2 linked regions of the Tribolium castaneum genome follow. The protein of the gene in region 2 interacts with the protein of the main gene of each other region in a pairwise test. Links are inferred from orthologs where the notes say so. Each region holds a gene or a part of one and is shown on either strand. Other genes may lie near its edges.

Region 1 (4,171 bases), on a different chromosome or scaffold from region 2:
AAGCGGCCTTAAATGTTCTAAATCTTTGGTGTCTATATTGGCGTAGCAATGTCTTGCGTTGTCCTCGGAAGGATCCGAGTCTTTGGTTCCAACGGTGTCCACATTCATGTACAGGTGGCACGGACTCTCCACAAGGGGGCGCAGCTCCTCCCCACATCTAAATACCCAGTGACTTTATTTTTATTTAAATCAAAACTGCCAAATTAAAATTTTTAATTTATCACCAACTTATTATTATTTAAAGGCAGAAAATTATAAATTATTCACCGAAGAAAAAAAATATAAAAGTGGCACAGTTGGCAAAGCTGTTTATTTAGCAAAATTTCAATCTAACTGACAAAAATGTGTAAAAAAAATCGGTAAAAGCGCCCTAAATGAAATAAATCTGGGACTTTAGCAACTTACCCCTCGGGGGCTGCGGCGCCTAAGTTGGCATAATTGGGAGCCTCCAACTCAGTAATAACACTGGAATTGGTGTACTGGTGGTCCCCCAAACTGCCCCTCTTATTATTATTGTGTTCGTGCGTCGACTCGGCCGTCGTGGGGCTCACCGGGCCGTTGCTGGTGATGGACCCAGGGCGGCTCAGACTCGGCCTGGGGGCCCCCACCGGATTGAGATAGCCCTCGGGCTGGGACGGGGCGCGTCGCTGCACAGGGGGCCCCGTGGAAACGGCCGGAAAGTCCGAAATGGCGTTAATAAGGGGGTTCTCGTCGGAATTACGTACAATGTGATGTTGGACGATATTGAAAAGTTGCTCAGCCTTGCGGCACCTAAACGCATAAATGCCTTGGCCAGTGGGGCACCTGCGACCGCACTCGAAACTGAAAATTTCCGAGTCGAAGCCGTACTTGCGCAGCGACCTGAGGGGCCACACTGTGGGGTTTTTGCCTCTTTGGTGTAGGACTAGTTCAGTTTCCCGGACTTCGAGCTTGCCGGGGCTCACCAAGTCGCCTTGGTCGTTGACGTTGGATACGTCGAAAATGTTCGGGTGTTGATCGTTTATGTCGGGCTTGCTGCTAACACAACCCATTTTCTACCTAGGAGTAAGGGGTAAATAAACATCAAGGTTATTTGGTTGGGGGCACTTACTAGGTTTGGCTCAAAGCTTGATTGCATGGACACGTGGCTTTTCAGGCATTCTGACCAAAAATTACTGTTTTTACATTTTGTTGTGAGTTTTTCGGGGTTTTTTAACCAATTTTTATGTGAAGTTCTCACATAATAAACAGCGACGCCATCATGGTTCTTCTGTCACCAGGCCGGCAACCAAACACAAAAAATGCGAAAATAAATTCATTTGACCACCGGCAACAACCCCACGGGCCCCAAAACACCCACAACAACACGCGTAAACAACCCAACAACCTTTCTGAAAATTTTTAAACAAAATACGGAAAAACAACGGTGTTGGTACCCCTACTAGTAGCTCAACTGGTCACAATCTCACAATGTTCACAAAACCTAATAGTGAATTCACACCTTTTTCGTATTTTTTTCCCAAACTTTGATTCAATAAACCCAAAGGTCGCAAAACCGTTCTTAATCACACATTTACTATTGATAATTCCTTATCAAATTAACAATTTCGTCCACGCACACCTTCGTCACCAAACCCACCAAACACACAAGACCGAAACTGGGCAACTGGGGACGCATCTGTGTGTTTTTTGTGCTTAAGAAGTGATAAAAGGCCATGGCCCAGCGTTTCGCGGGCCCCGTGCCGCCCCAAGGTCCCGGGGGGCCCCCACCCCAGCGTTACCCGCCCCAAAATCCGGGAATGCGCCAGTACCCAGCCCAGAATTTTCCGGTGAGTTTCCCCATTTTCCACCCAATTATTTCTAATTCGCACTATAGCAACGGACAGGGTACAACACCCCGCCCCCGAACATGGGGGCCCAGCCGGGCGCTATGATGCCGCGGCCCCCTCAAGCCCCCTATTCGCCCATGCGAGGGGGGCCCATGCCGCCCCAGCCGGGCGTTAAACGGCCCCCGGACAACAGGGCCGTCATGCAGCAAAAGAGGTAAGCAATTGGGAGTATACAGAATTGTTATTTTTATTTATTTCAAATATTTGTATTTGTTCGAAAAAATCGTTTACGCTGTTGGCAGTGATTACCCACATGGAACCAAGAAAAAGAAGAAGCTTTCCGACAAGATTTTGCCCCAAAAAGTCAGAGATTTGGTGCCCGAAAGCCAGGCCTACATGGATTTACTCGCGTTTGAGCGTAAATTAGACTCGACCATAATGAGAAAACGGTTGGATATTCAAGAGGCGTTAAAACGTCCAATGAAACAAAAACGCAAATTGAGGATTTTCATCTCTAACACGTTTTATCCAGCCAAAGAGGCGTGCGCCGAGGGCCCAGACGGCCCTGGACAAGAGGGCTCCGTGGCCTCTTGGGAGTTGCGAGTCGAGGGCCGCCTTTTAGACGACTCGAAAAGTGACCCCAATAAAGTCAAACGCAAATTTTCGTCATTTTTCAAATCGTTGGTGATTGAGCTCGATAAGGAGTTGTACGGTCCTGATAACCACTTGGTGGAATGGCACCGTACCTTAACAACTCAAGAAACAGACGGTTTCCAGGTCAAGAGACCTGGGGATAAGAATGTGCGGTGCACTATTCTTTTGTTACTCGACTACCAACCGCTACAATTCAAACTCGACCCGCGATTGGCCCGTTTATTGGGCGTGCACACGCAGACACGCCCCGTTATCATCTCCGCCCTATGGCAGTATATAAAAACGCACCGATTGCAAGACGCCCACGAACGCGAATACATCGTGTGTGATAAATATCTCGAGCAGATCTTCGGGTGTCCTCGGATGAAATTTGCGGAAATCCCCCAACGTTTAAACCCGTTGCTCCACCCACCGGACCCTATCGTCATCAATCACGTGATCTCGGTGGAGGGCGGGGCCGAAAGCAAGCAAACCGCCTGCTACGATATTGACGTGGAGGTGGACGATACGCTCAAAACTCAGATGAATAATTTCCTGTTGAGCACAGCTAGTCAGCAGGAGATCCAAGGTTTGGATGCGAAAATTCACGAAACTGTCGATACGATTAATCAATTGAAAACAAATCGTGAGTTTTTCTTGAGTTTTGCCAAAGATCCGCAACAGTTTATTTACAAGTGGATCGTGTCACAAACCAGGGATTTGAAGGTATGGAAAGTGAGTGTATTAGGGTGGAAAAGTGGCATTTTCCGCACGTTTGTTCTAGTGTATGACCGATGTGGTGGGCAATCCTGAAGAGGAGCGGAGGTCCGACTTTTTCTACCAACCGTGGGCGCAAGAAGCCGTGTGTCGCTATTTCTACACCAAGGTGCAGCAAAAAAGGGCCGAACTGGAGCAAGCACTCGGCATTCGCAACAATTGAGCGAAACCAGCACGAGATATGTATTAGTTTATTTGAATATAATTTCCAGCATTTAATAAATAAACTGCATTTTTAACTCAAGTCACTTTCCTTAAAATGTCTCCAAATAACCAAAAACAAACTCACTAAGGCTGGAGAATTTTTCCTCAAAAATTCAGTGATTTTTTTCCTATAAGGGTGAAAAATTTTCGGCAACAATGAGGGAAACAAACAGGAAATTTGTATTAGTTTATTAGAATATAATTTCCATCATTTAAATAAATAAATTGCATTATTGACTCAAGCATCCACTATCAGTTTCGTTACACAACTACGACAGCTGTACCAAAGACTGTTACTAAACAATTATCTACAGTCAACAAAAACAAATAAATTAGAAATGCAATTGTGCACCAATCGGGTCTTTGACGGAAGAACAAAACTTTGCTACTTATCACAATGAAATTAGATTGCATCGGAGCGATTAGCACTTGCGCCCGTCAAGCCAACCGTCCGACCTGCACCATTGAGAAAAACAACAAAATAAAATCGTTTTAAAAAAATATATACTTAGACCACTACAAGCAATCAATCAATCGTAAACAAATTTATACAAAATACATCAATCAGGCTATACAAATAATCCAGTTGTGTAAAATGTGCTACTTAATTACCTAAACGTGCTAGTTAGACCATTTGATCAAGAGGAGAGACAACTAAAATCCTAAAATAATGCCACTTTTATATTACAAAACACGATTTAAGCCTGGAAAATTTGAATCGTTATTACACCACCATGATTATAATAGCG
Region 2 (4,453 bases):
AAAACATTTTCCTTCATCAATTTCAATTTAGAATAGCGGATTCACGTCGAGTTTTATTAATGAAAATGTAAATTTAAATATCGGATGTACCGTTCAAATTTCTTCTGGAGTGTGCATTTGGACTACATCCGAGTGAAAAGTTTCCAAATAACTGAACTTGTTTTTCGAGTCGATGCATTTTAGCTGGTAATTTATGATTGCAGATGCCTGGACGCGGTGACACTTTTGCCGGATTTACATACATTTTAACGTATTAGCATCGCCTGTTTCGTGTTATTAGACACATAAATTTCAACAACAAAGCAACATTTTATGCTTATGACCCACCAGTCACGCAGTGGCACATTTAATTCAATTTACAAAGCCGTAAAATTTTCAGAAAAAACCCTAGAGACACAGCCACAACGTCACTATCCGCGAATCTAGACACAGGTGTCCTTCTAAGTCGGGATGAGCTTTTACCCATCTCTTATCCCTTTACGACCAACTACCATTACCAAGTGCTTCGAAAAATTACCAGATTACGGGCAGTAAAAGCATCCTAAACCCAAACTCTCAAATAATGCTGATAAGATAAATGGGAATATTTTTCCAGGAAGTCAGATTTCGGACAAAACATCGAAATCATTGGTCTTTAAATCCAAACAAAACTGTATATGTATTTAATTTTAAAATTTACTAAATTATTACTTATATTTCGTACTATTATTTAAATTTTAAATAAATAAAACAACAAAATGTGTGTTTACAATGGATTTATTTCAACCGTAGCAACTGATATAAAATATAAAGTTCGAAATCCAGTACAATTTAGAAAACAACAAATAGTTTTTTTGAATTTTAAACAATTGTTAGGTTTATGCTCAGCCTAAGACATTATCATACATTCAAAAAACAATATATTAATTAATTACAAAAAAAAACAAGAAAACCATTCCATAACACATTGATTTTCAAACAGCACCTTTATACCTGCGACTTAATATTTTCACAGAAAAGGTCTTTGACATCTCTTTCGTAGTAATGCTTCCTAATAAGCTGACTTTAAGTAGTATAATTCTTGTAAATTTTTACGTTCCCTCCAAAAATGATTCAATTTAAAACTGGTGTTTTCCCCTATCCCCTTATTTTCATATTATGTTCAGATACTTACGCATACACAAAACAATTAACGTATTGTTTATTTGTTTAATCTTTCTTGGCACAAATTATTTTATAACAGTTCAACAACAAAAAAGGTAAATGAATGATGACAATGAAAATACTAATCAAATCGATTAATGTTTCTAATAAAATTATTGTTGTATTTACTTTTGTTTTATTACTAGATTATTTTACCATCCTATATAAAAAATCGAAAAATTGTACGCATCAGCATTTAATAAAGATAATAACTAAATCAGAATCATACTAACAAAAGTGTTAACACAATTTATAACTTCATTTATATGTGATTCAAACAAGATGATAGAAAAATTTAATTTGTAACTGTGTTACAAATTAAATTTTGTTCAAGCATGTCTGAAACGAGCTTTACGAGCTGATACAAAATATGAGGTCAATATATTTTGTTTTCAAGAGAACATGTATAAGCTTTAATGACTTCATTAAAAAAGCTTTTAAGCACGCTCTAACATAAAACAGGTAATGAAAATAAATTTTATTAAAAAAATGGTACAACATTCTTTCTACAGAGACTTTTTTTAACTCTAAAAATAGTCACCATGTTACCAATAATACGAAAAATAATAATTATTTGATGTCAAGTTGTTTGAAGTTTATTTTAGTGAAAAGATAATCCTTTGTAATCCGGCATTTCCCCTAAAAAAATATAAATTGCTTTTGCTTTGAAAAGAACCGAATTGTTATTTGTTTCTTGCCAGTGGTGGCGCAACTCCTGGGGGTAGGAGGTAGTGAATCAAAAAAATACGTTCGTCAAAAAAAAACTAAAACTATGCAAAAATAAAGGTTAATAAATGTCCAGTGTTTAAAAATAATCAGTTTTTAAAGATACTAATCTTAACTGAGGGCTGAAAAGATAATCCTTTGTGATCTGGCATTTCTCTTAAAAAAATATACTCGTACCACCAATTTCGTTATTTAGTGAAATTTGTCGGCTCAAAAAAAGTGGAAATAGAATGACAAAAAAATACGTGCGTTTTTAACGTGGCTCACAATCTAGGAAGTCATGTTGGTACAAGCTCAACTTAAGTTTTATCTTCAAGCTTCTAAATATCACAATAAAATCTTAAGTATCTTTCATTATTACAGTTAGCTATGAAAAAATTATGACTCAAATCATGGAAGATTTATGTATTCCTCGATCGGTCATGAAATTTCCCATAAAACTCTAATCGAATCCAGGCATCCAAAGCGTGAGAGCCTGTAAGCCCCAATTATAAAATTTAATGTCCTCGCTCCCCTCCGCTCCAAAATCAATATACCCGCACCCAGATTTGGTTAAATCGGCAAAAATAACCTAAAAACGTTGAGATAACACGAGCGGATAACCTCAATTTCTAAAATCACGATGCTCCAACGAATTCGAGCAAGATAAGCAATTAACACGGAATTAAAATCGGTCCTGTAAAAAGTCCCTCGGACGTCATTCCTTTATCGGCGATCAGCTGAGACCGAGTGTCAACAACCGCAAAGGCCCTTAGGCCGGCCCTGTCCACTTACCAGGGGTCAATTTTTGGCTGACGACATCGGGAAAGACGGACTTGGGCTTGGGGGAGGAGGAGGTGGCCGGAGGCGAAGCCCTGTCTCTGTGCGTGGGGCTCTCGCAGAAGGGAATGCAGCGCCTGCGTTTGGCCGGACGGCCCCCCAGCACGGGCTCCCAATCCAAGGAACGTTTCAGAGTAGCGCACGCCATTTTTAGTTCTGTCGCTAACACTTCACACACAAAACAAACTTTGTTTCACAGGCTATCGCGAATTTGCTATGTACAAAACCGAAATTGCACTTGGACACTTATGCAGCGGTACTTTTACCCCGAAACTTGTCCATGAAAGGGGAATGGTCGACGATTTCATGCGCACCCAACGACCAATATGGCGAAACGAAATAAGAGAAGTGACATTTTGTGAACGGCAGAGTGGGCTGTGATGAATATACGGTTACCATTGGCTTGCGCGACTCTGCGCATGCTTTGTACCCTGGCGACATCTCCCGGGACCAAAGATCTTCGCGTTTTTTCAAAATTAATTGGGCTAATTTAAAGGCAATTACGCAAATTTCCGTCTAACAACGGCTAAAACGAATGTATCATGAAATCGCTTGCTACCTTATGCCATTTTTAGGCACGTTACTGTTGCTTTTGCTTTGAAAAGAACCGAATTGTTACTTGTTTCTTGCCAGTGGTGGCGCAACACCTGGGGGTAGGGGGTAGTGAATCAAAAAAGTGCGTTCGGCAAAAAAAAAACTATGCAAAAATAAAGTCCAGTGTTTAAAAATAATCAGTTTTTAAAGATACTAATCTTAACTGAGGGCTGAAAGAAAGCAAATCCGTGTAATATAGACATTTTTTTATTAAATACTTTTTATCCAAATATGATACCAATATGCCTCAACAATAAAATCACATAATCTTAAATCTTAACATAAAATATACTATCCAATTTATATATTATACTTAGCTCTTAATAATATTTGGCATATATATTAAAATGTACAGAGCTGATATTTTGTATAGCATAGGACTTTGCCAGATTCCTACAACAAACCAAGCTAAATATTATTGTCAAAGAAAAACCGGTGACGGAACCAAAAACCGTTCGCACACGTCTGTGTGCAGTGTGTTTCAAACGTAAGAGGCACGGAATAAACAACAATGTGAGTGGTTCATTTAAAAACTGTCTAATCTGCACAAAACCCTGTTCAACACGAACACAGCTCAAAAGCGTATTAAGATATCATAAGTCGTAGTTCTACAACATCCTTGCTTTTAGTCGACCCCATTGTACCGTTCAACTGAACACTTACGATTACTAGAATTTAGAAATTTTAACAAGAAATCACAAGTATATTATCTCCCTTAAAAACTAGCAACGGCTGAAGCGCGTCCAGGATTTTTTAACATATCACAGCTAGCGCCAGAAACAAGTCAAACAATGATACGTTTTGATAATTGACTTGCGACGAGTATTTTCATGATTTCGAGCGAGAAAGAAACAATATTCAACACTGGGCTAAGGGTCACATTTAGACATCGCCACTTAATTCTAAACCGATATTAGAAGAAATCCTGAACGACTTCGAGTCACCTTGATCTACGGTTCAAAGTTCAACAAATAATCTTTCAGCTGATTGGGCAGATTCAGTTTGTTAATGTAGAGTCCCGGTCTGCGCCCGAGACAGTTGTGTATTTTAACGCGGCAGATCTGTTTCAGACTTCTTGGTCTTTTGTATAAATCTCTAATAATACAGGTCAACGGCTCAGTCATTTTCCCCG

Evidence for each region.
Region 1: the proteins of akirin (region 2) and Bap60 interact in binary tests that used the Drosophila melanogaster proteins (3 or more experiments, as listed by UniProt). The link is inferred for Tribolium castaneum from reciprocal best matches to the Drosophila melanogaster genes akirin and Bap60.

Annotation. Positions count from the first base shown.
Region 1 is NC_087395.1:25,851,847-25,856,017, reverse strand, and holds Bap60 (brahma-associated protein of 60 kDa), read left to right. Parts: upstream 1-1,477; 5' UTR 1,478-1,694; coding exon 1,695-1,808; intron 1,809-1,855; coding exon 1,856-2,022; intron 2,023-2,110; coding exon 2,111-3,176; intron 3,177-3,225; coding exon 3,226-3,381; 3' UTR 3,382-3,462; downstream 3,463-4,171. Other genes in the region: fibroblast growth factor receptor substrate 3, read right to left, coding at 1-157, 406-1,031. UniProt on the Drosophila melanogaster protein: Involved in the recruitment and site-specific anchoring of the Brahma complex at specific promoter sites.
Region 2 is NC_087398.1:5,661,188-5,665,640, forward strand, and holds the start of akirin (akirin), read right to left. Parts: upstream 3,121-4,453; 5' UTR 2,876-3,120; coding exon 2,683-2,875; intron 1-2,682. Other genes in the region: ankyrin-3, read right to left, coding at 4,272-4,453. UniProt on the Drosophila melanogaster protein: Molecular adapter that acts as a bridge between a variety of multiprotein complexes, and which is required for embryonic development and for normal innate immune response.